7 linked regions of the Canis lupus familiaris genome follow. The protein of the gene in region 1 interacts with the protein of each later gene in a pairwise test. Links are inferred from orthologs where the notes say so. Each region holds a gene or a part of one and is shown in the gene's direction. Other genes may lie near its edges.

The links.
Region 2: the proteins of DAZAP2 (region 1) and BATF2 interact in binary tests that used the Homo sapiens proteins (3 or more experiments, as listed by UniProt). The two-hybrid records come from large-scale screens. The link is inferred for Canis lupus familiaris from reciprocal best matches to the Homo sapiens genes DAZAP2 and BATF2.
Region 3: the proteins of DAZAP2 (region 1) and UBXN6 interact in binary tests that used the Homo sapiens proteins (3 or more experiments, as listed by UniProt). The link is inferred for Canis lupus familiaris from reciprocal best matches to the Homo sapiens genes DAZAP2 and UBXN6.
Region 4: the proteins of DAZAP2 (region 1) and RNF208 interact in binary tests that used the Homo sapiens proteins (3 or more experiments, as listed by UniProt). The two-hybrid records come from large-scale screens. The link is inferred for Canis lupus familiaris from reciprocal best matches to the Homo sapiens genes DAZAP2 and RNF208.
Region 5: the proteins of DAZAP2 (region 1) and UBASH3B interact in binary tests that used the Homo sapiens proteins (3 or more experiments, as listed by UniProt). The two-hybrid records come from large-scale screens. The link is inferred for Canis lupus familiaris from reciprocal best matches to the Homo sapiens genes DAZAP2 and UBASH3B.
Region 6: the proteins of DAZAP2 (region 1) and RBPMS interact in binary tests that used the Homo sapiens proteins (3 or more experiments, as listed by UniProt). The two-hybrid records come from large-scale screens. The link is inferred for Canis lupus familiaris from reciprocal best matches to the Homo sapiens genes DAZAP2 and RBPMS.
Region 7: the proteins of DAZAP2 (region 1) and SMAP2 interact in binary tests that used the Homo sapiens proteins (3 or more experiments, as listed by UniProt). The two-hybrid records come from large-scale screens. The link is inferred for Canis lupus familiaris from reciprocal best matches to the Homo sapiens genes DAZAP2 and SMAP2.

Annotation. Positions count from the first base shown.
Region 1 is NC_049248.1:43,029,760-43,033,769, forward strand, and holds the start of DAZAP2 (DAZ-associated protein 2), read left to right. Parts: upstream 1-1,210; 5' UTR 1,211-1,351; coding exon 1,352-1,364; intron 1,365-2,402; coding exon 2,403-2,521; intron 2,522-2,950; coding exon 2,951-3,119; coding exon of another isoform or gene 3,120-3,196; intron 3,197-4,010. UniProt on the Homo sapiens protein: In unstressed cells, promotes SIAH1-mediated polyubiquitination and degradation of the serine/threonine-protein kinase HIPK2, probably by acting as a loading factor that potentiates complex formation between HIPK2 and ubiquitin ligase SIAH1.
Region 2 is NC_049239.1:52,687,731-52,691,765, forward strand, and holds the start of BATF2 (basic leucine zipper transcriptional factor ATF-like 2), read left to right. Parts: upstream 1-1,235; 5' UTR 1,236-1,520; intron 1,521-4,035.
Region 3 is NC_049241.1:55,634,193-55,638,202, forward strand, and holds the start of UBXN6 (UBX domain-containing protein 6), read left to right. Parts: upstream 1-1,210; 5' UTR 1,211-1,284; coding exon 1,285-1,367; intron 1,368-1,630; exon of another isoform or gene 1,631-1,755; intron 1,756-4,010. UniProt on the Homo sapiens protein: May negatively regulate the ATPase activity of VCP, an ATP-driven segregase that associates with different cofactors to control a wide variety of cellular processes.
Region 4 is NC_049230.1:48,434,711-48,437,532, forward strand, and holds RNF208 (RING finger protein 208), read left to right. Parts: upstream 1-1,149; 5' UTR 1,150-1,357; coding exon 1,358-2,155; 3' UTR 2,156-2,322; downstream 2,323-2,822.
Region 5 is NC_049226.1:11,541,256-11,544,755, reverse strand, and holds part of UBASH3B (ubiquitin-associated and SH3 domain-containing protein B), read left to right. Parts: intron 1-284; coding exon 285-407; intron 408-1,885; coding exon 1,886-1,978; intron 1,979-3,157; coding exon 3,158-3,302; intron 3,303-3,500. UniProt on the Homo sapiens protein: Interferes with CBL-mediated down-regulation and degradation of receptor-type tyrosine kinases. Promotes accumulation of activated target receptors, such as T-cell receptors and EGFR, on the cell surface.
Region 6 is NC_049237.1:34,777,312-34,781,490, reverse strand, and holds the start of RBPMS (RNA-binding protein with multiple splicing), read left to right. Parts: upstream 1-1,379; 5' UTR 1,380-1,661; intron 1,662-1,759; 5' UTR 1,760-1,898; intron 1,899-2,985; 5' UTR 2,986-3,241; coding exon 3,242-3,307; intron 3,308-3,772; exon of another isoform or gene 3,773-3,787; coding exon of another isoform or gene 3,788-3,811; intron 3,812-4,179.
Region 7 is NC_049236.1:2,683,438-2,687,510, reverse strand, and holds the start of SMAP2 (stromal membrane-associated protein 2), read left to right. Parts: upstream 1-1,273; 5' UTR 1,274-1,710; coding exon 1,711-1,813; intron 1,814-4,073.

The DNA of each region.
Region 1 (4,010 bases):
AATTAAAAAAAAAAATTAAAAAAAAAAAAAAGAACATTGTGTTCTGGGCAGCTGGATGGCTCCTTCAGCCCAGGGCGAGATCCTGGAGGCCTGGGATTGAATCCCACGTTGGTCTCTCTGCATGGAGCCTCTTTCTCTCTGATGGATAAATAAAAAAAAAAAAAAAAAAAAAAGAAAAAAAAAAGAACATCTTGTGCTGGGGGCGCCTGGGTGTCTCAGCAGGTTAAACGTCTGCATTGGGCTCAGGTCATGATCCCGGGGTCCTGGGATGTGCAGCCCCTGCATGGGGCTCCCTGCTCGGCGGAGAGTCTGCTTCTCTCTCTCCTTTGCCCATCCCTCTGCCGGTGCACTCTCTCTCTCTCAAATAAATAAATAAAATATTTTTTTTAAAAATGTCTTGTGGGGCAGCCCAGGTGGCTCAACGGTTGGGCGTCCGCCTTCGGCCCAGGGCATGACCCCAGGGTCCTGGAATCGAGTCCCACGTTGGGCTCCCTGCATGGAGCCTGCTTCTCCCTCTGCCTGGGTCTCTGTGTCTCTGGTTAACAAATAAACAAAAATCTTAAAAAAAAAAAAAAAGGTCTTGTTTAGCTCCATCTCTGTACTTGCGCAGAGGCGGCGTATCTTAAAATGAAGGTTGCCCGGGGCACTGCTGCCTTAGAGGGTGGCACCCCTGCCCTTAAGGACAGTGAGGGTAGGGACGAAGGGAGAGAGAGGGAGGCTACAGGAGGCGGCAGGCCGGGCCCTGCGCGGGGCCTCCCTCGGGCAGAGGGGCAGCGACGCAAGTGCAGGCGGGCACCTGCCGGCGGGACGGGCAAGGCGGCCAGGACCCACTGACGGCGCCGCCAGCCCGCGCAGTCCAGGGGCCGGGGCCGGGGCCGGGGCCGCCGCGCTCCGCAGGTGAGGTCACCTTGAGCTGCTGCGCAGAGGTGGAAGCAGGTTCCGGGGAGCGGCTTCAGCGGCTCTGCCCCCGAGCGCCCCAGAGAGAGAGAGAGAGAGGAGGGGGGGGGGCGGAAAAAACAAAGGCAAAACCAAAAAAAAAAAAGCCAACAACCGTGTTTGGAGACAATACCTGCATTCGGTTTTCTTCCCGTCGTGGGACGCGGGTGGGGGTGGGAGGGCGAGACCCAAGGGGCGGGGCCGCCGCGCGCCGGGGGGGCGGGGCCACGCGCGCCCGCCCTCCAGCTACTGGACGCCGCGCGGGAGGGGCGGGGCTTCCGGTGGCGGCGGCGCTCGGGCGTCGGGTGACGCGAGGCGGACGGGCCGTCACGTGACACGGAAGTGACTACGAACAGGAAGAGGACGAAAAAAATAACCGTCCGCGACGCCGAGCCGAACCGGACCCGCAGCCACCATGAACAGCAAAGGCAAGGGCAGGGGGCGGCCGGGGCCGTCGGGGGGACAGTGCTAGCCTGGAGCGAGCGGGCCCGGAGCCCGGGGTCGCCAAGCGGAGGCTTGGGGCGCGCTGCGCCTCCCTCCCCGGCCGGCTGCGGCCCCGGGGGCCGCGCCAGACGCCTTCGTCATCCCCGAACTGCGGCTGCTCGCTGCTTCCCGGCCCTTTCCTCCTTAAACTCTGTGGCGCAGTTTGGAGCTGCGGGCTCGGGTGGAGGGGCGGGGGGGTGCAGGGGGGAGGCTTGTCATGATGGGCATCTGCGGGAGCAAATGGGGAGCTAGAGCAGGGATGCGGGTCGGCCAATGGCGCGCCGGCGGGGGCGGGGCTTCGCGCTCCGGAACCAGAGGCCGGCGCCCGGGCTTAACCAGTGCGGCGCCGGCGGGCGGGCCCCGGGGCCCGGGGGCCCGGGGGCGGCGGAGGGGTCTCCCTCCGCGTGCCTCGCGCGGCCGCCCGAAGTGCCCCCGGCTCCTGGGACTGTGCCGGCGTCGGGCCCCACACGGTCCTCCGCTGTGCCTCAGGACGGTTCCCGTTATCCTCCCTCGGGTCCCGAGGGCTCACGTCCATCGCGCGCTGTATTCGGAAGGCGACCTTGAGTAGGAAGCGGCGGGGCAAATAACCCGCAACCTCCGTGACCCAACGAGGTCGCGGCTCGGTCCAGCCAGGCCTGTGGCGACCACCCGGAGCCGGGGCAGCGCGTCCCTGCCGTTGGGCACGGGCAGGAACGGGGCCCCACACCTGCCCTGCATCGATGGAGAAGCTCGGGTGTGCCAGTGGGAGGACTGCCCCGGTAGGAGTAGGGATAAGGGTGCGAAGAGAATATTCTCTCGGCCCCAGAAATCAGCCCCCACCCCCACCCCACCACCCAGAGCGGTCTGTCTACACATCTCCAGCTTGCTGCCCCTAGGGCAGCTACCCAGGATGCTCTGCCCCATTTTGGTGGCTCTGTGTGGTAGGCAACATGCATTTTCTTTTTCTTTCCTTTTTTTTTCTTTTTTTCTTTCTTGTCTTCCAGGTCAATATCCAACGCAGCCAACCTATCCCGTGCAGCCTCCTGGGAACCCAGTGTACCCTCAGACCTTGCATCTCCCTCAGGCTCCACCCTATACTGATGCTCCACCTGCCTACTCAGAGGTGCTTCCAGTTTACTAGACTTGAACCCAGTGCTCTTGGGTCACATCTTCAGTCCTTAGCTAATAAGCCTGAGTCCACGCATATCTATTCAGTGTCCGTAAATAGGAGAAGGGAGGGCTCACGTGAATAGTCTGAAACACTGTACACTTCAGCGCAATTTCTGTTGGGGTTGAGACTGCATCATCTGATTGTTTCATGTTTTTTTTTTTTTTTTTTTTTTGGCACCGGGTGAGGTTAAGAAGATGAGCTTGCGTTCCTTGAGCCTCACGTTAGCTATGGCAGGAAGTGATGCAGGAGGGTACTGAGTGGCAGTGGAAAGGCAGTTTGTGTAACTCAAGAGTGTAATCTGCACAAGGACAATTAAGAATTGAGCGTAGAAGGGATCTAAAATCGGAATGTCATAAAGTAACCTGTTGCCTTCTCTTCTAGCTCTATCGTCCGAGCTTCGTGCATCCGGGGGCTGCCACGGTCCCCACCATGTCAGCTGCATTTCCTGGCGCCTCACTGTATCTTCCCATGGCCCAATCTGTGGCTGTTGGACCTTTAGGTTCCACAATCCCCATGGCTTATTATCCAGTTGGTCCCATCTATCCACCTGGTTCAGCAGTGCTGGTGGAAGGAGGGTATGATGCAGGTGCCAGATTTGGAGCGGGGGCTACTGCTGGCAACATTCCTGTGAGTATGACCTTATCAGAACAACTCAGCTCTTACGTAGTTTAACTTTCTGAAGAGATTACATATTCATCCTTTCACCATCCCTGGGTAATAGCTGTGGTATGGGTATAAGCACTGACATCCAGTAGTTGGGCAGAAAGCAGTTGAGGGGGCAGGAGAACTGTGGCAAGTCAGTAGCATCTGGCACATTCCCTGGGGCCTGAGTTAACCAGATTCCTTTGTTTTCCTATACCTCTTTAAAGCATTAGGAGTCCTGCCTGCTGCTTTTGCAGTTCCACTTTGGTACTGGTCTAGTAATACTCCTTATTCAGCCTGTAACATTTACTTCAAATTTGCCTTCAGTATGGCATTCCATTAAGAAACGTGATAAAAGAAAAACGTGATGAGTAAAAATGGAGAAAGACACATGAGATAAGCACTGTGTGTTATATGTAGGCAACTTGAATTTAAATAAAATAATAATTTTTAAAATCCTGAAAAAAATGAAGAAAGCATAGTCCCCTATTAAGTGGCATTTAGAAAGATACTAGAGATTTTAGTTATGTTGCCTGCTTAGCTCCCCCCTCTATAAGAATTAGAGCCCAGGTGGTCCTTGCCTCAAAGCCATATACCTGAAATGAGGTGAGAATGCCTTTAAATGAGTGGTAGGCTCTTTTCCTGTCTGTACCTTTGGGTTCACAGAGAATATAGACCTGCTTTACAACCCACGTTGGCAGAACTAGCTTTAAGATGTGATTGGTCAGGACACTGCCATCTTTCTAATGGATCCTGTTTCACGTGTGTCCACTTCCCTTGTCTCAGCTGCCCTCTGCCC
Region 2 (4,035 bases), on another chromosome or scaffold:
TATATCTCATGCAGCACTGTTAGCTATAGGTCTGGGGTCACACATTACATCCCTAGTACTTAGTTATCTTGCAACTGGAAGTTGATATCTTTGGACCACATTCCTCCATTTCCCCCTCCCCTGATCATCCACATCTGGTATTGGATCTGGATTTTTTTAAAATGCTTTTTAAAAAAAATATTTTATTTAGGGGGTGCCTGGGTGGCTCAGTCGGTTGGGCATCTGCCTTCGGCTCAGGTCCTGATCTCAGGAGTCCCACATCAGAGCTCTCTGCTCATCAGGGAGTCTGCCTCCTCTGCCTCTCACCCCTGAACCCCCTCATGCTCTCTCTCTCTCTCTCTCTCTCTCTCTCTCTCAAAGAGAGACAAGCAGACTCCCTGCTGAGCAGGGAGCCTGATGAGGGGCTCAATATCAGAGCCCCAAGATCAGGACCTGAATCCAAGGCAGATGCTTAACCATCTGAGCCACCCAGGTGCACCTTTTTTTTTTTCTTTAAACAAATGTCTCCCAGAACCTAGAGCAGGGCTGCCACATAGTAGATGCTCAGTAAATATCTGCTGAGTCAAAGAGACAGAGGTGGAAGTCCATTAAGTGCTTCCTAGCTGTTGTTAGCCTTGTTCTTAACTATCAGGCTTCTTGGCCTCCAGACCAAGGCAGGCCTGGCCCCCACCTCTGCTGCTGAGATCTGACAGATACCAACTCCCAGACCAAGCCAACACTGAAAAGGGCATCTCCTGTGTACCTCCCTACCCCCAGTTGTACAGCGGGGGAGCTGAGGCCTACAGTGGGAGCTGGGCAGATGGCAAGGCCAGGAGAGGGCCAAGGCCTCTCGTGCCTGGATACCCACCCTCAGTTTGAAGTCCCTTTGCCTGATAGAAAGCCTCTGTTGTCTCAAATGGCAGTCTCCTCTGGCTACAAGGTGATCATCTCCCGGAAGGCATCAGGCTGGCCCCAGCCTCCAGCCACAGCAAGAGGGGCCCAGGAAGATGGGTTATCACAGTCTTTCACTGGCCATATGGGAAAACTGGGCCCCAGGGCCTGAGTGGCTTAGATGTTGAGCGCCTGCCTTAGGTCCAGGGTGTGATCCTGGAGTCCTGGGGTCAAGTCCCACGTTGGGCTCCCTGCATGGAGCCTGCTTCTCCCTCAGCCTGTGTCTCTCTCTCTGTGTCTCTCATGAGTGAATAGATAAAATCTTAAAAAAAAAAGAAAAAAGAAAACTGGGCCCCGGAGAGGGCACCTGGCTGCCCGAGGCCTCGTGCCTGTGGCACGTGAGCTGTGGATGGATCCGGTTTTCTTGGGAGCCTTTCCTGACCATTGTTCTGCATGGGGATCCCCTTTCAGCCCAGGACCTGTGGGAGGCCCCATCTTCATAGGTGCCTCATTTTTCCCCCCCGCAGACCCATAGCAGGTTTCCTCCACAGGAAGGGGGTACGTGCCCTATTCTCCCGAGGGTGCTCTGTGCCCTCATTATTTCTGCTCCGGAGCCAGGAGCCGTGAGTTGGATCCAGAGGAGTGTGAAGGTAAGAGAACCTCTCAGCCTGATTCCGCCATGTCCTTGCCCTGGGCCGAGTCCCTTCCTCTCTCCGAACCTTAATTTCCCCACAGATAAAGCAAAGAGGCTGGATGGCCAGTCTAGAATATTCTGATCATGACTTGTCAAAGATCTTGGTGCCCTTGGTGCAGCACCTGGGATGGGTCAGCTAGGCAAGCACTCTCTCGTCTCCTGTTTGGGAGACACCGGCCACACTGAAGTGGGATTTTGTGTCCTACCCCTCTCCAGCCCTCCGGGCTCTTGCTCGTGACCCTGGCTGGCTGTTTCCGTCCACCAGCCTCCAGGTAAGGCCTTCTTGCCTCTCTGAGCCTTTATAGGAACCCACACCAAAGCCAAAATGAGGGAGAGCCATTTGAGGAGTGAAAAGCCTCCCTCAAAGGTCAAGGTGACAGTCCTTCCTCTCCGGTATCTAGGATCTTAGCAGGGTACCCAGCCTGGGCTTCTCTGCCATCTGCAGTGGACAGTGGAGTGGTGACATCACAAGGGAGAGCCAGCCAGGGACACTGGGCCAAGAGGGAACTTACTGATGGCTGCTTTCTCTCTTTCTTTTTAAAAAATATTTTATTTTTATTTATTTTGAGAGAGAGAAAGAGTGTGTGTGTGTGGGGGGGGGGGGTTGGGGGAAGGGCAGAGAGAGGCAGAGAGAGAGAGAGAATTTCCAGCAGACTCCTCTCTGAGCACAGAGCCTGATGCGGGGCTTGATCCCATGATCCCAAGATCATGACCTGACCGAAACCATGAGTTGGACACTCAACCCACTGAGCCACCCAGTGGGTGACTGCTTTCCATATGTGGTTTCATTGAGACTGCTCTGGCAAAAGAGGGTATTATTCTCATTTTACAGACAAGGAAACTGAGACCCAAAGAAACCATGGGCCATGTCTAAGGTCACACAGCTGGAAGTGGCAGTGCAGGGATTTAAACCTTAGACTGCCTGGGACTAGGACCACCTGGAAAACCCAGGAGCTGTTGTCACCAGGGTCACATCCTGCAGAACCCTGGGCGGCTTGCTGACTCTAGGCTCTAGCACTCAGTTGTTTATTATTTATACTCCCTGACCACTTCCAAAAGTTTGAATCAGTTTCCTGGAAAGATGTGTATGTGAAAGGAATAGCCGAGAATCAGCAGCACAAAGCTTTGGGGGCAGCCAAGGGCCCGGCAGGACGAAGGATGGACACATATAGCAGCTCCTACTAACAACCGATCAGTGACAGCGTCACAGAACCCTGGGGAAGTCACCTGGTTCCTGGGAAGCCTGGATATTTGCAGATTGCAGCTTGTGGAGCACTCACAGGGTACTGTGCTGAAGTGAAAGTCAGTCCTCTCCTCCCTCTGCCCTGGGGAGTCCCCACAATGTCACGGCCCTAATCCCTGCACAGCATTCATTTCATCTGGAGTCTTCCCCTTGCCCAGCCTCTGCTTTCTCACCCATGGGTCCCTGTGAAACAATGGAAAGAGGGTGTAGGGTCGGTGTCAGAGACACATGGGGGCATTGAGTCCATCCCACCTGGGGATGCGACTCTGCAAAGGGATATACTGCTAGGAGCAGCTTCCTCATATCTGAATTTGAGCCAAGGTGGTGGCATCAGCCCAGTATCCGTTCCCTCTTCTGCCAACAGCCTTTGGGGGTTGCCCTTCCCTCACCCCTAGTCCCTAGGGCTGACCCTTCCTCCTAGGCTCCAGGATGGGCGGGGACCCCAGCCTTGCCTATCTTACTTTATCTCCTGGCCACAGTAACTGATCAGGAATAGCTACATGATTTAAGCCAAACCAAGTTCTGGCCCTTTGTTGGGAAAGTGGCAGAGGTGGAGGGATGCACTCTCCTCATGGTCATCTTACTAGAACAGTGAGGATGAGACACTGGCTCTTGAGGAAATTGTTTGGGCATTGTGATCCAGCTGTGCATGAAGCTGGTACACTCTAGACTTGTCTGTCAGTAACTTAAGCTTGAGTTTAGATCATTTAGAAAACCAAGAATCCTCCTATTGATGATACTCCTTTATAAGCATGAGAAATTTTGAGCAATTTTCATCAAATATTAAGTGCTTCTGCTTACACATGGGCACCAACACTTTTTTCCCACTAAAAATATATTATATTGGAAAAAAAAAGTCATCCATCATGTACTCCACCATTTTTTTCTTAAATAATAATGAAATAAAATACAAGCCTTTGGTTGGGTGAACAAAAATTTATCAAATATTTATTGAGTGCCTTTGTTAGAAGTTTAACAGATGTTTATGTGACTCTCTGTTGCCGGGCGCTGTTCTAGCCCTTTGCAACTATTACTTCATCAAATCCTTATATTATTATGCCCATTTGAGAGAGGGGCATGAAGAGTTAAATGACTTGCCCGAGATCAAGTTCCAGGTCCCAGGATGGAGCCTGTCCACCCTCCGATGTCCTTGCTAAAGAGTTTCTTCAGTGGAAAGATCTCCCCAGTAGGAAGTGCCCTCTGCGGCCATAGACTCCCTGTCCCACCC
Region 3 (4,010 bases), on another chromosome or scaffold:
CTTCTGAGTACCTGAAGAAAACAAAAACATTAATTAGAAAAGATACACGCACCCCACACATTCATTGCAGCACAGTTCACGATGGCCAACTATGGAAAGAACCCAAGCGCCCACGATGGATGAATGGATAAAGAAGAGGTGGTGTGGAAATAGAGCGGAACATCGCTCACCCAAGAAAAGAATGAAATCTTGCCATTTGTAACATCAATGGACCCCAAGGGCAATAAATGAAGTAAGTCAGAGAAAAGCAAACAGTATAGGATCTCTCTCATATGAGGAACAGAAACAAAAGTCAGGACATGAGGAACCCCAGCGAGCTCATCCATAAGGAGAGCAGGTGGGTGGGTTGCCTGGGGCAGGGCGGTGGGGAAAATGGATGGAAGAATTGAAAAGAGAAAACCCAAATGAATCGCAGCTACTGGTGTGCTTCTCCTAAAAATGAGTCTGCTAAAGACCCTTTATATCATCTGATGCCCAGACACCCTGCGTTTTGGCGGCCGCCCTGCCAACCTTTTGCCTCGTTCCCTGCGTCCACCTTTTCCCTCGAGCACCTAACCCCACCTGCCCTGCCGCAGACTTGACCCGTCGACGCCGCCGCGAGGTCTGCGAGTGGTTTCCCTCCCCGCTGCTAACAAGGCCGACTCCCAAATAGGAAACGAGTCATTATAACGGGTGACATTTATTGAAAGCTTTCTGACGGCATCATGAGCCCCGCAATCCTCCTCCGAGGCGGGCGCTTCAGGGAACCCAAGCTCCGCAGGGTCAGTTGGGGCTGCACCGGATTTTTCCCGGAATCCCAGGGGCCCCAGGATGACGTCAGGGCGCCCCGGCCCGAGCCCCGCGGGGCCGCGTCCCCCAGCGCGTGTGCCCGAGGGAACCCCAGCGCCGGGCACGGGCGCGGCTCCACTCGGCCCCGACGCCCCCACGCAGGCCGAGGCTCGGTGGCCCGGTCCCACCGTCTCCCATCGCCGCCTTGGAGAACGCGGTGCAAGGAGCGCCGGCGCGGCCTCGGGCGGGAAGCGCGCTCGTCGCCCCTGGCAACAGAGTATCCGGAAGAAGCGCCGAGACGCGCCGCGAGCGTACGGAGCGGCCGCCGCGGGCCAGCGAGGCGCGGAGAGCTAGAGAGGCACGCCCGGCCGATTGTCACGTGGGCGGCCGCGCGAAGGCGGGACTTCCGGCGGCGAGGTATTTTCTTTCCGGTTGTTCGCGCCCGCCGGCCCCACCCCGACTGGGCCCTGTGCCCCCCGCCCCCCGCGGCCCCCCGCCGCCGGGCCCGCCGCCACCATGAAGAAATTCTTCCAGGAGATCAAGGCTGACATCAAGTTCAAGAGCGCGGGGCCTGGTCAGAAGCTCACGGGGTCCGTGGGGTGCGTGACCTGCGCTGGGTGTTGAGGCCCGGGAGCAGGGACGGGCGGGGGGCCAGAGGGGGCTAGGGGCGGGGGGGAGACCTCTGGGGGCGGGGCACGGGGGGCGGGGGGCGAGGGGGCGAGGGTGTGGGTAGCCTCCGGGGGCGGGGCGGGGGGCGAGGCCCGAGAGGGCGGGGCTGGCGGGGGCCGGGGGGCGGGGTTGCAGGGAGCGAGGTGGGGGTCCGCGGAGAGGCCGCGGGGCAGCGGGTGGGCGGGGAGGGCCCTGAGGGGCATCGCCTAGATTCGGGGGAACCCGAGGGTTCGGAGGTCGCAGCTGGGGTCGTGAAGATGCAGAGGCGTAGCGTCCGCGGCGGTAGCGGCCCGGCCCCGGTGGCGGAGGGAGGACGGGGTGAGTGTGGTTCGGCCGGGGAGCCCGAGGCGGTGTTGGAAGAGGTCTCGGTGGGGCGAGGAGCGGGGGTCCGAGCGGTTGAGGAAGGTCGGGGAGGGACGCGGAGGCCGGCTGGTGGAGGTGGGGAGCTCGGGGCCTCGTGCCGGGGGACATGGGGACCTTGTGGGCGAAGGCTGAGTCAGGAGGGAGATCCTGAGGCCGACGGAAAGAGGGAAGGTCGGGGAGTACACGCGCAGGCCTCTGTGGACGGAAGGAAAGGGCCTGGGGCCAGTCTGGGGAGGAGCCGGAGGAGCTGGAGCTGGAGCAGGGGCCGTCGGAGGCGGGCCCCGGTGGGCTGGGAAGGAAGCTCCTCTGGGGGTGGTACGAGCAAAGGGGGTGTTCAGGGATGGGGGCCCTGGGGACTGAGTGGGGTCTAGGACGGGAAGTGGTGGAGAGGGAGGCTGTGAGGGGTAGGCGGGAGAGGCAGGGCGGCAGGGGAATCGTGGGGCAGCGGGGGTGGGTGAGGGAGAGCGCGTGCATGACATCAGGGCATCCGTCATGGGGATCCAGGGTTCCTGGGACTGGGAAGAAGGAGCCCCATGAGGGCCAGGTTCCTGAGTTGGGGAGGGAGGCCCAGTGGACTGCATCAGGTCCTGGGAGAGAGGAGGGCAGCTTAAGAGAGGGCGGAGTGGATCAGAGGGGGAGTGGACCATACGAAGGCTTCCACTTGGCCTTCAGCAAGTAGAGGAGGGAGGGGAGGCTGACGGAGCTGGGATTGAGCCTTCCAGGAAGGGGGGGGCCGCGGGGGCGATGGCTGTGTCCACCAGGAGGCCTGGGAGGAGAGAAGAAGGAGGTAGCGTGGAGATCCAGGCTTCTGTGACACACTTGGGGCAGGCCTGGGGCTCAGAGTGTGTGACAAGGACTGTCATGGGTGTCTCGGGTGTCGGTCTCAGGGCTCGCCTTCCAGTGGGGAGAGATGGACAGATAAACCAGTGCACATGTGGTGAGAGATCAGGTGGTACTCAGGGCCAGGAAGAAATATAAGCTGGGTCAGGGGACAGCAAATGAGGTTGGGGACTGTTAGGGCATCCCAGAACACCTCTCTGGGAAGGAGACATCTGAGCCGAGAGCCAGAGGAGGTGAGGTTCAGCCATGTGGAAATTAGTCTTCTTCACACACACACCCTGAAGCAGCCCCAGCAGCTCCCAGACCTCCTTCCTCATCTTACATGCAGACAGAACATTCCGGGCAGAAGGTGCAGAATGTGCAAAAGCCCTGTGGTAGGACCCAGTTGGGCCTGTGGGAGCAACAGTGGGAAAGCAACGTAGATGGAGAGGTGTGAAGGCAGGGAACGGGCAGGTTGTGAAGGGGGCCTCAGGATTGTGTCGGGCGTGTGGTGGAAGGGCTTGGTGCAGGAGCGACAAGCTTGGGCTTAGGTTTTAGAAGGTTTCCCGTGGCTGCCCAGGGGAGCCTGGGATGGCAGGTGAGGTGTCTTAAAAATGGCTTTTTTATAGAAGTAAATGTCACATGGGGCTAAGGTGGGGCTACGGGATTCATCTTTTGTGCAACCTGAGGTGGTTAGCTGAGGGCAGAAGGGCAGGGATGGTCAGGAAGCAGGTCCCAGAGGCCTTGGGACATGAAAAGCGGGCCACCTGTGTGTCTGAGCAGAGCAGGAGGGGTGAGGCCACGAAGCCAGAGCCTTGGCTAATCAGAAAGCTCTGCGGGTGTAGTACAGGTAATTCCAAGTCGTGCGGTCAGGAGAGGTCTGGAGGGAAGGAGGAGAGGCAGGTGACTCAGCAGGGTGTGAGGGAGGACTTCCCGCAGGGGAGGCAGGTCGTTTCTGTGTTGAGTGCACCCGGGAGCACGCAGCCCGTGCTTGTTTCCCAGGTGTGACCATGCGGCCTGGCACAGTCCTGGGCATGCGGCCCGTGCGCCTGGCTGTCCTGGCCTGGAAGGGCTGCTCTCACTCAGGAGGGGGAGTCAGGAGAGGAGTGACGTCTTTGAGTCTCATCGGTTTCTGAAGGCGACAGGGCGCCTGTTCACATGCTGCACCAGGCGGCCCATGTGGGGGGCTGCCATGACCCGAGGCCTTGCCCGCGCAGGACGTGCCCTGAGGGGCAGAGCTGAGAGCAGGACTGCCATGGGGCCGCGGGGGCTCTTCTGTTAGAACCCTCTAGTGGCCGCGGGTGGCCCCTGGGAAAGAGGGATGGTCTGTCCAATGGGGCAGGAGTGGGAGAGGGACAGAGGCGCTTCTGGCTGACCTCCTGTCATCTCAC
Region 4 (2,822 bases), on another chromosome or scaffold:
AGACCATCTCTGTGTCCCCCTTGCCTTCCTCCTGCTGGCATTGAGGCCTCGGGCTTCGAAAAGCACGATTTCCCTTCTAGAATTGGGGGTGGGGGACTTGACGTGGACCCAGGTCAGCCAGGAAGGGCTGAGGGGTCGCGGGTACCGGAAAAGGGCGTCGCGGGGGGGGGGGGGCGGGGGGGGTCCTGATCCACAAGCGGCTCGCAGGGGAGGGCAACCCCGGGAGCGGGCGGCAGACCCGCGGCGATGGAGGGGCGGCTGAGACACTGGCCCCGCCCCGCGGACCCCGCGCGGGTCCCCAGACGGGGGGTGGCGCTGCGGGCGCGGGCGGGCGCCGCGCGCACTGCGGTCCCCGCGCCTCCGCCGCAGAGCGCGCCACGCTCCGCACGCACCTGCCGCCGCGCCGCGCTGCCCAGAGCCCCGCGCCCAGCGCCCCTGGGAGCCCCGCCGCGCCGCGCCATCGCCCGAGGTCGCCGCCGGAGCCGCTGGAGCCGCTGGAGCCGCCGGAGCCGCCGGAGCCGCGGGAGCCGCCGGGCCGAGGCGCGGGCGTCGCATCCGGGCCTGCCTTTGAGACAACCTCTGCGGCGGCGGCACGGCCCGGGGACGCCAGGCTGGGGCAGGTGAGCTCGGGCGGGGCGGGGCGGGACGGCCGCGGGGTCGCCACTCGCAGCCCCTTCCTACCGGCCGGGGTTGGGCCTTGGGGGAGGAGGCTGGGTCCGGAGTCTGGTGAGGATCAGGGTCAGAGGTCGGGCGCCCCGTCTTTTGTGTAGGGTGAGGGTGGGCCCCGGGTGCTGCCCTCACGCCGTCTCTCACCTGCAGCCCGGGCCTGGTCCAGGCCTCTCTTCTGCTCCCGCTGCAGCCGCCGCCGCTGAGCCCGCGGCCTGGGGCCTCCCGCAGCCAAGGCTCAGGCTAGCTGCCTTCCCTGGGCGCCCTGTCCTGGAGCCATGGGGCCCACCTAGCCCCCGCCTGCCCGGATGTCCCTGCTCGGGGGCTGCTGACCTCAGTTGCAGGGGGAGTCCCCCCCACGCCCCCTCGCCAGCCTCAGCAGCCGGAGACCCTGGGTGAGCCCCTGGGCCAGACCTGCAGCCCAGGGCAGCCTCCCCTACCCCCCTGCCCCCGCCTCCCTCCGCCCCCCCCACCCTTCCCTCCTCCTCCTAGGACTGGACCAGAGAAGCCACTGTGGCCACTGGGGGGGGCCCTGCCCCCCCAGCTCTTGCCGGCCGCCCCCAGGAGTCCTCGGGGCGGCCGGGGTCCCTACCAGGCCTGGCAGGACCAGGATGCTGCCCCCTCTCCTCCTCCCCGGCCTCACCCAACACCCCCACCCACCCGAACACCCAGTCTGACTGGGGACAGCCGGATGCCGGCTGACCCCGGGCCCGAGGTGGGCAGTGGCTGGCCGGGCTTCCTCATGTCCTGCCTGAAGGGCCCCCATGTCATCCTCAAGATGGAGGCCATGAAGATTGTTCACCCTGAGAAGTTCCCTGAGCTGCAGGCGGCTGCCCCTTGCTTCCCACCAGCACCGCGGCCCACCCCTGCCCTGGCACCCAAACGCGCCTGGCCCTCAGACACAGAGATCATCGTCAACCAGGCATGCGGAGGGGACATGCCTGCCTTGGATGGGGCACCCCGCACTCCTCCCTTGCCGCGACGGCCCCGAAAGGGCAGTGTGGAGTTGGGCTTCCCCCGAGTGGCACCAGCGGACGAGGTCATCGTGAACCAGTATGTGGTGCGGCCTGGTCCTGCCACCTCAGGGGCCCCTGCCACGGCGGCACCAGCCTCAGGTGAGCCCCTGGAGTGCCCCACCTGCGGGCACACGTACAACGTCACCCAGCGGCGGCCCCGAGTGCTGTCCTGCCTGCACTCTGTGTGTGAGCAGTGCCTGCAGATTCTCTATGAGTCCTGCCCTAAGTACAAGTTCATCTCCTGTCCCACTTGCCGCCGCGAGACTGTGCTCTTCACGGACTATGGCCTGGCTGCACTAGCTGTCAACACGTCTATCTTGAGCCGCCTGCCACCTGAGGCACTGACTGCCCCGTCCGGTGGCCAGTGGGGGGGTGAGCCGGAGGGCAGCTGCTACCAGACCTTCCGGCAGTACTGTGGGGCCGCGTGCACCTGCCATGTGCGGAACCCGCTGTCTGCCTGCTCCATCATGTAGCACCCACCGGCTCACCACTGCCTGCCAGTCCTTGCTCGCCGCTTCTTCAGGGATCCGGCCCTGCCCTGTCGCCTGTTGACCCCTCACCCACCACAGCTTCTGGCCCCTTCCCATGTGGCATTGTCGCTGCAGCCAACTCCGCCATTAAAACTCTTTGCCAAAGTTTGCACCTTGTTCCCTGGACTGAAGCCTGAGCTTGTGGCTGAGCCGGGGGCTGCAGCCCAGACAGGGTCCAGCCTGGAGCCACTGAAGGCAGGCTCAGTGTTGCTGGGGGTCAGCCCACTGTGCTGACTGGTGCCAGCCTGGGCCAGGGCAGCCACTCAGGAGGGCTGGGCCTAGCTGTGTGTATGCATGCGAATGCCTCCCACACCTGTGTGGAGCCAGCCAGCCTCCTGTGTGGGCTGCTGGGGCAGATGTGCAGAATGGGCAAAGGGTGGACATGTCCTCTGCACTGGCCACTGGATGTGGGGGCAGCTGGATGGGGGACACCAGGCCCCTGGTTCCCCTAGACCCTCTGAAGTTGAATGGGAATGGCCTTTGGGCCAGACTGAAGCAGGGTTGAGATAGGCTAGCTGAGATCGTAGTGGGGTGGGAGGACCCCATGGCAGAGTGGGGGAGAGAAGGGTTGGGGAGAGCCACAGGGCATCGAGGAGGCGCATAGACATGA
Region 5 (3,500 bases), on another chromosome or scaffold:
GTCTTAAGACTGGGAGGTTTTCATCTCTCAGAATCTTCCTGCTTTAGGATGTGTGGTTGTTACTTTCACCTAAAAACTATCTCTTATCACTTTTGTCAACCAGAATGCAGGAGTGGATTCCCAGACTCTACCAAAGGAAACGTGTCAGCTTCAATATTTTCTAGAAAAGTTCAGTTCCCTTTCTTTGGCCAAAAAGGAATGGAAAACGGAGGGCCATCAGGATCAACAACAGAAGTCCTAAGGAAAACAAAGTCATCCTTTTACTTTTTTTTTTTTTTTTCCAGGCCGCTACATACGCACCAACCTGAACATGCCTCATAGCTTACCTCAGCGGAGTGGTGGTTTCCGGGATTATGAGAAAGATGCTCCGATCACCGTGTTTGGATGTATGCAAGCAAGACTGGTGGGTAAGTGTCCTGGAGTGATTGCACAGCCTTTCCTGGCTACGTCTACAAAAGACTGGTTCCAGTGGGTATGCCAGGACACTTTCTACAGCTCTCTACAAGTTTCCTACAAGTAGTTTATTTCCCCGATTCAAAAGCGATTTATTTATTACACAACCATGAAGTTCCGAACACTGTGCTTGGCACTGGGCTAGTTTACCACAGTGAATGAGGTATGATCCCTTGAGGGCTGTATGGCCCAGTGATGGGGCAAGGTCAGCTTCTAGTGCAGGGGTGAGGAGGAGAGGAGAGAAGCCTGGAACGGCTAGATGTAGGGAAGCCAATTGATCCTTTGAAAATAGTCAGTTCTGGGGTGCCTGGGTGGCCCAGTTGGTTGGGTGTCTGTCTTCGGCTCAGGTCATGATCACAGGGTCCTGGAATTGAGCTCTGCATTAGGCTCCCTGCTCAGAGGGGAGAGTCTGCTTCTCCTTCTGCCTCTGCCCTTCCCCATGCTTGCTTGCTCACTCTCTGTCTCTCAAATGAATAAATAAAATCTTCAAAAGATGAGGAAAAGAAAGAAAATGGTCAGTTCTTGCAGGTCTATTCCATACATACCAGGTGGAGACAGCAGCCCTGTCCTGTTCAATCCTCTAACACATTCACTGATCGTTTACTTTGTGCAAGGTCCCATGCTAGGTGTTGGGGATCCAAGTGAGAGCCCCTACCCTCAGAGAAACAGCTTAAAAGTGAATAAATATCATACATCTTGAATAGAACTGTGTGCAGAGTATTATGGGAACATAAAACACACACACACACAGAAGAGGGGAAGAGAAGTCACCTGGACAGAGAAGGAGCAGCAGGGTGGGAAGTGTGTGTCTGGTGGGGAGAACCATAAAAAGTCATAGACGTGGGAAGTAACATCGAAAGTAGTTAGAGAAAAGCTCTTTCCTTCTAGACCATGGCTTGTGAGCCACACGAGATAAGGCTGGTGAGCTGGATAAAGAACAAGTTCACAGAAGACCTTGCCCCGCATGGTTATCCAGTAGAGAAAAGAAGCATGTTCCGTGAAGAAAGTGTTGAAGTATCGGGTGTTGGGATTTACCTCTGTTATCTAAGAAGATGACAGGTTGAGATCTTGTTTAGCGCAGGATAAAAGTAAAACAAGATCTAACTGTCACAATATGAACCATCTCGTTTATATCACAAGTGTGAAATCAGAGCATTCTCATGTTTCTGGATCTCTCCTAGATGGATATTTTCCTGCTTGTTAGCTTCAGAGAGAAGGAAAGAAAAAGACAAGAGGGGTCTTCCCTTTGGACTCTTTCACAGAAATGCTGATGAGGGGATGGGCTGGAAACAAGGCTCAAACTGTTGGAGTCTGTGAGCCTCCATTGAAAAAAAGAGGTGTGCAGGGTCTGCCTGCCACCCGCTCCCACGTTAAGCTCCAGCAGAGGCTGCATAAATCCAGCAAGCTGATTCTCCTCTGCCTTCCTTTGCAGGGGAAGCCTTATTGGAGAGCAACACTATTATTGACCATGTCTACTGCTCCCCATCGCTGCGCTGCGTTCAGACCGCATACAACATCTTGAAAGGTTAGACTTGATAAAGGCCCACGGGACTATCCTTCTGCCTCTAGACAGCACTACGCCTAGATTATCCTAGACTTGGGGAACATGCACCAATTGAAAGCTTCACATTTGGAATTTTTAGCAATGATTCTTTTGGAAGGCGTCTGTGCAAGAGTCCCCAAATCATACTCTGGTGGCATAAATGAGACAAAAGGAGGTAGAGAGAGAATTTTTCTCTTGAAAATGTAAAGCCCTCTTGGATGAATGGTAAGCTTGTGAAATATCGTTGTCTGGCAATAATTTGGAGCCTACAGAGTGTGATCCTTTTTTTGCAGTGAAACAGTGAAATCATTTCCTCCCACTCTGCTCTGTTTGCTTCTTGTTTACAGTAGCAACGGTGCTCCTAAGTATCTACAAATCTTAATCATCCCTGTTTCTTTAGTTAATTGGATGACTTTAAAAGCACCGTTGCTATAAAGATCCTCAACTTTCACCCTATAGGGATCTCCATCCTCATTTCACAGGAAGGAAAACTAATAGAAACAGAGTAGAACTGTTCGCTTGTACAAAACAAATGAATGAGCCAGAAATAGCCAAGCCAATGAAGAATTTATACTACCTTGGAGGCTTCTATTTCTTAAGTAAACCAGAATGCATTTATGTATTAAAAAACTGGGCTAAAGCAATATAAAGAAAGCCAAACAGGGACTAGTCGAGTGTGATTACACTTCCATAAAACACCAGACTTGTGCACTGGCACTTGCAAATATTCAAAATTGGATTTTCTGCTGGAGAAAATGAATAATTTACGTGATAACTCAAAAACAGTATAAGCTATTCTGGAGTAGTGGATGCTGAGAGAATTTCTGAAGTCTCTTGGTGAGGCAGTCTTGGGACTTAACCTTAGAAAAAGAAAATCTAGCAGTCACAGAAGTGTATACATTATATGGGTAATGACTTGTGGTTTTTTCTCAAAGTCAGAGACCACTTAGAGCCAGCATACATCCTGTTGGTGTGGCCAGAGTATTAAACTTGTATGTTTGTCACACACGGAAATTAAAACCCCTTGACCAAACCCACATTCTTCCACTTTCCTTTAACCATCTATAGCGACTGGTAGAAAAGAGAATAGAATTTTTATAACAGTTTGGCCTCTGAAACACAGTGCCCATTCCTTCATCTTTGTTTTATTTTACCTCTAAGGTTTACAACAAGAAAATCACTTGAAGATCCGTGTCGAGCCTGGCTTATTTGAGTGGACAAAATGGGTTGCTGGGAACACATTACCTGCGTGGATACCTCCATCAGAGTTAGCTGCCGCCAACCTGAGTGTTGATACAACCTACAGGTAACCGTCTGAGCTGCTGTCTCCCAGAGTCAATGTGGAAGTACTTTTCTACACCAGGTCAGGCTGACTAAGGAGATGAAGGACCAGACCTAGGCCATGGGCAGTTGTCCATATTGGTGGGCGTCAAGTTATGATCTGAAAAACCACAACCGGAGAAAGCCAGCATTCCCTTGTATTTAGTGTGAGTGTGGGTTATAT
Region 6 (4,179 bases), on another chromosome or scaffold:
AGAGAGGCAGAGACATAGAAGGAGAAGCAGGCAGGGGAGCTGATGCGGGACTTGATCCCAGGACCCCAGGATCATGACCTGAGCCAAAAACAGATGCTCAACCACTGAGCCATCCAAATACCTGCAATTTTATTTATTTTTGAAATCTCATCAGTTGTCTCATTCTGAGCAAGCTCTCTATCTAGGTGGGTCTCCCCTGCAAAATAATGCCTAAAGACTACTACCATGAATCTGCCTAGTGTCCTTGTGGTGGCTCCCTATGCTGAGACACTTCCACTTATTCAGTCCCTCCTGCAGGGGCTTTGTAAAGATGTGATGTCATTCAAGGCTGAAAATCAATCTCTGATAAGACTGTGTTCATTTATTCAAAAATATTCACCGAGAGCCTACTATGTGTTAGGCACTGTCTAGATATTGGGGACACAACGATCAAATCAGACAAAGATCTTCTTCTAGCCCTTATTTTTTTTTTTTTATGCCAGATGTCTTTGACTTTTAACAATGGACAAAGTGCTGGCAAAAGAATCAGGTTCTACATTTGGAATTAGGCCACATTTCCCTGGACGGAGGTAGCAGCAGCATCCTGGAATCATACAGCACCTTCCACCGACTTGTAAGTGGAGTCTGACTGGAATCATCAATGACTAGATCAACTGTCACTTTTCTTGGGCCTTTGCCAGGCTCCAGCAAGACAATATCTTTCTGTGGAGTGTATTCAGTACCTGGCAATGGCCCAGGAGGGCAAAGGGCCTGTGTTTATTGGTGGCGCAGGGGCCCAAGACCACCACGCAGCCATTGCTCAGGAACACATTGCCCCCTCGTGGTTCTTTACGTAATTGAGGGAGGGACTGGGATTGGAAAGGCTCTCCAAATTTCCAGATTAATCGTGGTGGCCTTTGCCTCTTCTGAACTTCCATTGCAAGTTCAACAGTTTCTTGGTTTATTTTCATCCAGGATACGCTTTCCCCCCACCCCCCCCACAGAGGCACATGACATCCTGACAGCAATTAAACCTATTTATCAAAAGCTTCAGACTTCCCCCACCCCCAACCCAAGAAAACCCCAGTAAGTGAATGCAAGAATTACCACTCTGTTTTTCTTCACAACGCTCGTCACACAAGTATTTTCTCTGCTTTCTGCTATTTGAACCAGGATCGCTGATCATGTGGCCATGGAGTTGTTTTGGGTGTCTCGTCTCCACAACACCAGTTAAAACTCCCTAGAAGCAGGAGCCTTATCTTCACCCCCACCTCCACCCCACCCCCAGCAGCACTTAAACCAGTACAGGGTGAAGAATGTCTGGCGGGGAGGGGGGAGAGCAGAGAAAGATAAACAGTGAAGCGAGCAAATAAATAGAAGTTGTGATTGGTACTGTGCTGGAAAGGAACAGCATGTCGTGTGAGAGAATTCCTGGGCGTGGGAAGTGAGGGAGAATCTTCTGATAGAGGCCCTTTTAAATTTATGTGTTTATGATACAGGAATGGAGAAGCTCTCTATGGCCCCGGGAAAATGGAAATTTCCTTAATAATAATGCTAGTTTCCCTGTTCTGTAAACTTACACCGGGCAGGAATGAGTGCTGGGTGCTCTAGCTCTACCAACCTATAATCTCCTCTAATTACAACCCCCCTGGGAGGTAACTATAACTACTCCCATTTCGCAGGTGAGGAAACGGAACCCAGGCAGTCCTCTGGCGCGTGGTGCTTAAACAGGTACTGGGTGCCCCCCTCCCAGAATGCTGAGCCCTTTTTCTTCCTTAAGGGGCTTTGACCCTCCGAAGATCATCTGGGTTGGCCTCCAGCTCGGCTCGCCGTGAGCAACAGTCACTTAGCCAACAAGTATTTATTGAGTGCCTACTGTATACCCGGTAGCGTATTTAACTAGCCGTGGGATTATCAAGGTAAACAAGGACACGGTGAGGCTGGCGTTGCGTTGTGGGGAGGCTCCCCCGGAAGGGTGAGGGAGGCAGGCAGGTAAGCAATTCCAGGACGGTCTGCTGAGGGCCGAGAGAGGGGCCTGAGCAGAGGGGGGCGCGAAGCCTAGCAGAGGGCGAAGGCCGGGGCTGAGAGCCTGGGAGGGCCCGGCGTGGGAGGTGGGTTTGAAGCTGCGCCCTGGAAACGCCGGCCCCGAGCCGGCTGCCCCCGGACCTCGCTCGTTCTCTCGCATCCTGTCATTTCGAGCTGCCAAGTAGGAAGGGAGGAAATAGGTCTGAGCCGGTGCTGCAGAGGCAGGGCAGGCTGAGCGACGGGGGCGCGATCCCCACGGCGGTAGCCCACGGCGCGTCCCGGGCGTCGCGCGGGCCCGGCCCGGCGCCCCGAAGCCCCTCTCCAAGCGGGCGCGCACCGCCGCGCGAGCTCGCCAGCTCCGGGGGCCCCCGGGGGCCGGGGAAGCGGGAGGACCTGGCCTCCCTCCCTCGTCCGCCTCGGCCCCTGCCCTCCGACCTCCCGCCGAGTCGGGGGGCTGGGGTCGGCCGCTTCCGCCCGCCGCCCCCCGCCCCTCCCCGGCGCGCGCCATCCGGCCGCGGGCGGCCCCTCCTCCCGAGGGGGGCTTCTGCGTCCCGCGTCCCGTCCCTCCGGGCTGAAGCTGGCAGCCCACGTCTAGGGAGGGCGGAGGGAGGAGGAGGAGGAGGGGGAGGGGGAGGAGAGAGGGGAGGGAGGAGGGCGAGAGAAAGGGAGCTGCTTGGATCCCGTACTTCTCAGAGCCTGCCTGGAGCGCGCACTCAGCGGCTCTCCGGGTCCCAGCGTCCCAGCCGCGCCCCGCACCTCCTCCTCCTCCTCCTCCTCCTCCTCCTCCTCTTCCTCGGGTCTGGGCACCCCTCGCCCCCTCCCTCCGGCCCCCGCCAGGCTCGGGCAGCGGCCGCCCCCAGCCCCGACGCGGCCACATCCCCAACTCTCTGGGCTCCCTCCTGGGACGCGCGCCCGCGCCCCATCCTTTCTTCCTTCCTTCCTTCCTTCCCTCGCGCCCGCCCGCCCGCCCGCGCTCTCCAGGTCTCCCTCCCGGTCCCGATTGTCTCCGTCCCCGCCGGCCCGCGCCTCGCCCTGCCCCGTGTCTCCCGCGCACTTCCTGGGTCGCCTCGCCTCGCCTCGCCGCGGAGCCCGAGCCGCCGCTGCCCCGGCTCCAGCCCCCGCAGCCCGCGGCGCCCGCCCGAGGGAGCCCCGGCGCCCGGGGAAGGGACAAGCGGGCGAGCGCGCCCTCGCCCCAGCCCCGCGCCCCAGCCCTGCCCGGCGAGGAAGGACCGGGAAGATGAACAACGGCGGCAAAGCCGAGAAGGAGAACACCCCGAGCGAGGCCAACCTTCAGGAGGAAGAGGTACCGGGGGGCTCGCTGCGGCGGGGGCACGACCTGGGCGCCGCAGTCCGGGGTCTGGGCACGGCCCTCGCCGCGACCTGTGGCCCCGGGCCGGGGGGGGGGCGGCGGGGGGGGTCTCTTCGCAGAGCGCGTTTCTAAAGTTGCGTAACTTTGAGGACTTTTCGGAGTTTGCTAAGTATAATGCTCAGCTTTGTCTGCGTGGGATTTTAAAAGCGGAATCGAGAGCTGACTCCCGGGTGACCTCCGGTTCCTGGGACCCAGAGGGTCGGGACCGAGTCTGCGACCGGGGCTGGGAGTGGGGGGTGTTTGTGCGTGCGGCGTGAGGAAGGAAGGAACTCGGGGAAAGTTCTCGGCGGGGAGACACCTTCAGTTCCCTGCCCCCTCCCCCTCCCTTTTCAGTGTTAAAAGTTCTCGGTGCGATCTCTTTCCAGCTGAGGCATTCTGGATTAATAGATAACTCATCAGCTGCATTCTTCTCTGATGAGTCAAAGACCTCGAATCTGGGTGATTAGGGTTTGTAAATTTTAGGGGCGATGCGGCTGGGGTGGGGTGGGGGAAGCCGAATAAAAGAGTTTGAGAGTTTACAACTCGCCAAGAGATCATCTTGGCTGTTTTAATAGCACTTTGACTCCTGAGCGTGAATTTTATGTGGTGCGTCCGTAACAAAGTTAAAAACGTTGCGGCGGCGGAGCGTTCCTTGGGGTAGAAACCCCATTTATCCGTGGGAGGGAACACCTGAACGGACGGTTTCAGAATTTTGTAGTTAGGATATTTGTGGTATTCTTTCAAGTGGCTTTGTTCCTGCAGGTATGTTACCTGGAGTCCAAGAAACAGTACATGTTTCGCCTGCTTTTTAAGTTCTCCCATAGCTG
Region 7 (4,073 bases), on another chromosome or scaffold:
CTGATGAAATGAAAGTTTTGAGGGAGCCTGGAGGGTTTTACTAGAGAGAACTATGAGCATCTGGTCTTAATCAGTTTCCTTGACCCATTCTTCCCACGGCAGCCAGTGATCTTTTAAAACCACTAATTGGATCATGTTGTTCCCCTTTCCCCTAGCCTAGTGCCTGATACTTAGAAGTTTCTCAGTAACAATTATCTGAGTGAATGAATGAATGAAAACATTAGCCAGGGAGCAGGTGAATCCCTAAAGAAAAACTACTTTTTTTTTTTTTAAGATTTATTTATTTATTTTAGAGAGAGAGTGAGAGAGGGTGAGTGAGGGGAGGAGCGGAGAGAAGGAGAGAGAATCCTCAGGGAGACTTCCCACTGAGCACAGAGCCCCATGCAGGGCTAATCCCATGCAGGACCCTGAGATCATGACCTGAGCTGAAACCAAGAGTCAGATGCTTAACCAACTGAGCCACCCAGCCTCCCCAAGAAGAGGATTTTTGTGGAGGGGTTCTGTGTAGTGAGGGTGGCTTTGGACAGTGATGCTTAATAATCATTTTAAGTAGTTCCCTATCGTGTGTTTTGCTGTAATCACCCTTCCTCTCTAGCACATCCCTCCACATGACCTTTAGTGAACGTCTGCCGCACAGAACTGCGCTGTTTGGGGAGGATTTAAGACATGAAAGTATCCAGGCACCAGGTAAACAATGCCCTAAGATGGCAGGAAATCTAATGAACAGAGGAACCCAGAATTCAGTGGGAACAGTGAGAGGTGACCAGGATCCTCTGAAAACTTGGGGAGGATGTGCTGTCCCCGTTATCCCGGATTAGGGGGTTGGGCCCTCCATCTGGCTGTTGAGGAAAAGGACAAGCTGGATGACTTTGGAGTAGCCACAACCTTCAGGTTACATAAGAATGACAAATATTTAACTCACAGACACGTTTTGAGGATTATACTGGGATAATTCGTATAAAGCGCTTAACACAGAGCCTGGCACAGGGCAAGAACTCCGCAAGTGTTAATTGTCGAGGTCCTTCCCTTGCTTCCACTCCCTCCACTAGCTTTCCGCGCGGCTCCATTCATTCTTTTCCAAGGACGCGCGGGAGGCGTGGCCGCTCCGCCCCCTCCCCAAGCCCCGCCCCTCGCCGCCGCCGGATTGGCTCCCGAGAGGCGGAGCCGAGGGAAGAGCCCGGCGCGACGCGGTAGGGGCGGGGCGCATGCGCGGGCTGGGCTGGGCGGAGGTGGAGAGGAAGAGCTGCCGGAAGTAGGCGGCTGAGGTGGTGGCCGAGCGGGCGGCAGCTGCCAGGGAAACCGAGGCGCGGGACCCGCTGCCGGCAGACTGACAGACAGACAGGCAGACAGGCAGACAGGCGGGCGGGCGGGCGGGCGGGGGGGCGTCTCTGCGCGCCCCGTTTGCCCGGGCTGAGGGTCTCTAAGTCCGGCAGCCTCCTCAGGACTCGGGCCTTTCCCTGAGCCCGCCAGGGGGCGCCGCGCTGAGGGGCTGCAGAGTGGGGGGCGGGCGCGGCTGACGAGAGGAGGGGCGCAGGGCCCGGCCCGAGGGAGGGCTCCCCACCCCCACCCCCACCCCCACCCTCACCCCTCACCCCCGCTCAGGAGGTGCCCCTGGGCGGGGGACCGGGAGTCCTCACCTCCCGACTGGGCAGGGGTTTCGGGGGGGGCGGGGAGGGCGCGTCGCCCTCTGCCCCCGGCGGCACCCTGGCCATGACCGGCAAGTCGGTGAAGGACGTGGATCGGTACCAGGCGGTCCTGGCCAACCTGCTGCTGGAGGAGGACAACAAGTTCTGTGCCGACTGCCAGTCCAAAGGTAGCGCATCCCTCCCGGCGGGCGAGGGGTCCAGCCTCCGGCCGCGCCGCGCAGGTGGCGTGTGTGGGGAGGGGGCTCCTGGGGCTTGGGCCGCCGATCCCGTCAGGTGGCGGGGCGCGTGCCCCTCCGGCTGGGCCGGCCGCTGGGCGCTCCGCGGCGCCGGCTCGGGGGGCGGGGGGCTGCGAGGGCGGGGGCGGGGGGCGCGCAGGTGAGCCGGTCGGCGCCGCGGGGCTCCGAGTGAGTTGCGGGCCGGCTGTCCTTCCAGGGGCAGCCCGGAGCTCGCCGCCTTCCACATGCAAAGCTGGGGGATGAACTGCAGTGTGTGTGCGTGTGCGTGTGTGTGTGTGCGTGTGTGTGTGGGGAGGTGACATGACGGCAGGAAAACCACTTAAAAATTTTTTTTTTTTTTTTTTTTTTAAGGCGGTGATGGTTGCTGCCCCGCTCTTGGCTGAGCAGCTTCCTCTGTCCTGTTACGGGCTTTGCTGAGACCTGGCAAGCGCATGGTGGGGGTGGGGGTGGGGGTGGGGGGCTTTCTTCTTCCTGGATGTGTGAAGTGGGAACCTGCCGTATATGCAGTGACACAGTGCGGATTTCTAGACAGCCTGGCCCTGGCCGTGAAGTGCGTTGGAGGCTGTGTGTGTGTGTGTGTGTGTGTGTGTGCGCGCGCGCGCGCGCGCGCGTGCGCGGGCGCAGGGCACGTGCGGTGGGAGAAACTAGCGGCAGATCGTGGCTGGAGTGCAGGATCCGTTTAATCAGTGGAGAGAAAGAAACGGGGTGGATGCATCAGATTTGTCGCTTCTGGGGTCATTACAAAGGCGAAAATGGTGAAATATGAGCGCTGTGAATTGTTAGAGCCATTTTAGTCTTTGCTGTGCCCTCCAAGACGCATGATTTGATCCAATAAAAAATCAGTATGATAGGAAAGCTTGGTTATAAGTGAAGGCTGGGTTATTAGCACTGAAAATTTATAGATTCAAACTTCTGTGAATATTGTTTCCTTAATTTTCTCTCTTTTTAAAAGATTTTATTTATTTATTCATGAGAGAAAGAGAGACAGACAGACAAGCAGAGACACAGGCAGAGGGAGAAGCAGGCTCCATGCAGGGAGCCCGACGTGGGACTCGGGCCTGGGTCTCCAGGATCAGGCCCTCGACTGAAGGTGGCGCCAAACCGCTGAGCCACCGGGGCTGCCCTTCTTTCTGCATTCTTTGGGATGTAATTGGAGAAGTTGGGGAAATTATTTTCCCTTTGGGGAGAAGGGGATAGTTCCCATTTTGGGAGCTATTGTTAATTTGCTCCTGTTCATAATGCAGTGGATTTACCACAGTTGTTTGCCATGTAACATTTGGGCACATGGTCTACAACAAAGATTCAAATGTATTTGTATTTATAGATATTGAGAAGGGAAGTACATGCCTAATTGATGCTCTTAGGTAATTACCTTTTATTTTAGAAAAATAAGGTTATGTTCTTAAGAACAGGGGAATGATACATTGGTTTAAACACCTAATAGTATATTTTAATGTCCTCTTCCAATAGATAAGTGGCATGTACTTTTAGGAAAGTACGTCCCCAGACTTCTCTCCTGAATTTTTGCCTTAGCAAGAATTTGCTTTAAAAAGTATTTTAGAATCTGATTATGTTGAGTAGGTTAATTTCTTATAGGTGACTCTTATTAAATCTTGTCCTAGACTTATTGGAACATTTCAGTGTAAAATTTAGGAGTATGTCTACTGGCTTTACTCAAATTCCCTTATGTCCTCAGTTAACAAATCTTGAGTCACAGTGAAGCAACCCACTAGAGTGACTCCCCACATTTGGGGAATCAAATGCCATTTTGATGATTAGTACTACCCCCAACTCTCCGTTTCTCCTACCACTCATACTTACTCATATTCCAATGAAATATAGCACATGGAAGGGAGAGCTTGATTCACCACTTCTTCCACCAAATTTTCCATTGCTCTTTATCAATAGCATCACTGGGGATCAGGTAATGAACATTAGTTAATTCTTGATGAGAATTACTAACTGCTGGGTTGTAAACTTTATCAACGGCTATTAATGGTAGAATCCTGGTTCCTGAAACTATTTATTTTCACAAATTAGTTTTACATTTTGGCTTGGTAGCTTCAGTAACTTGGCCATTGTATTAAACTTGAGATGACAAGATGTCCATCATCTTTCAAGTTATTTAAATAACATGTTGTTTAGGTCTCAGTTTATTCAGTTTGTGAATTCTCTGGCTCCTTGCACTCTT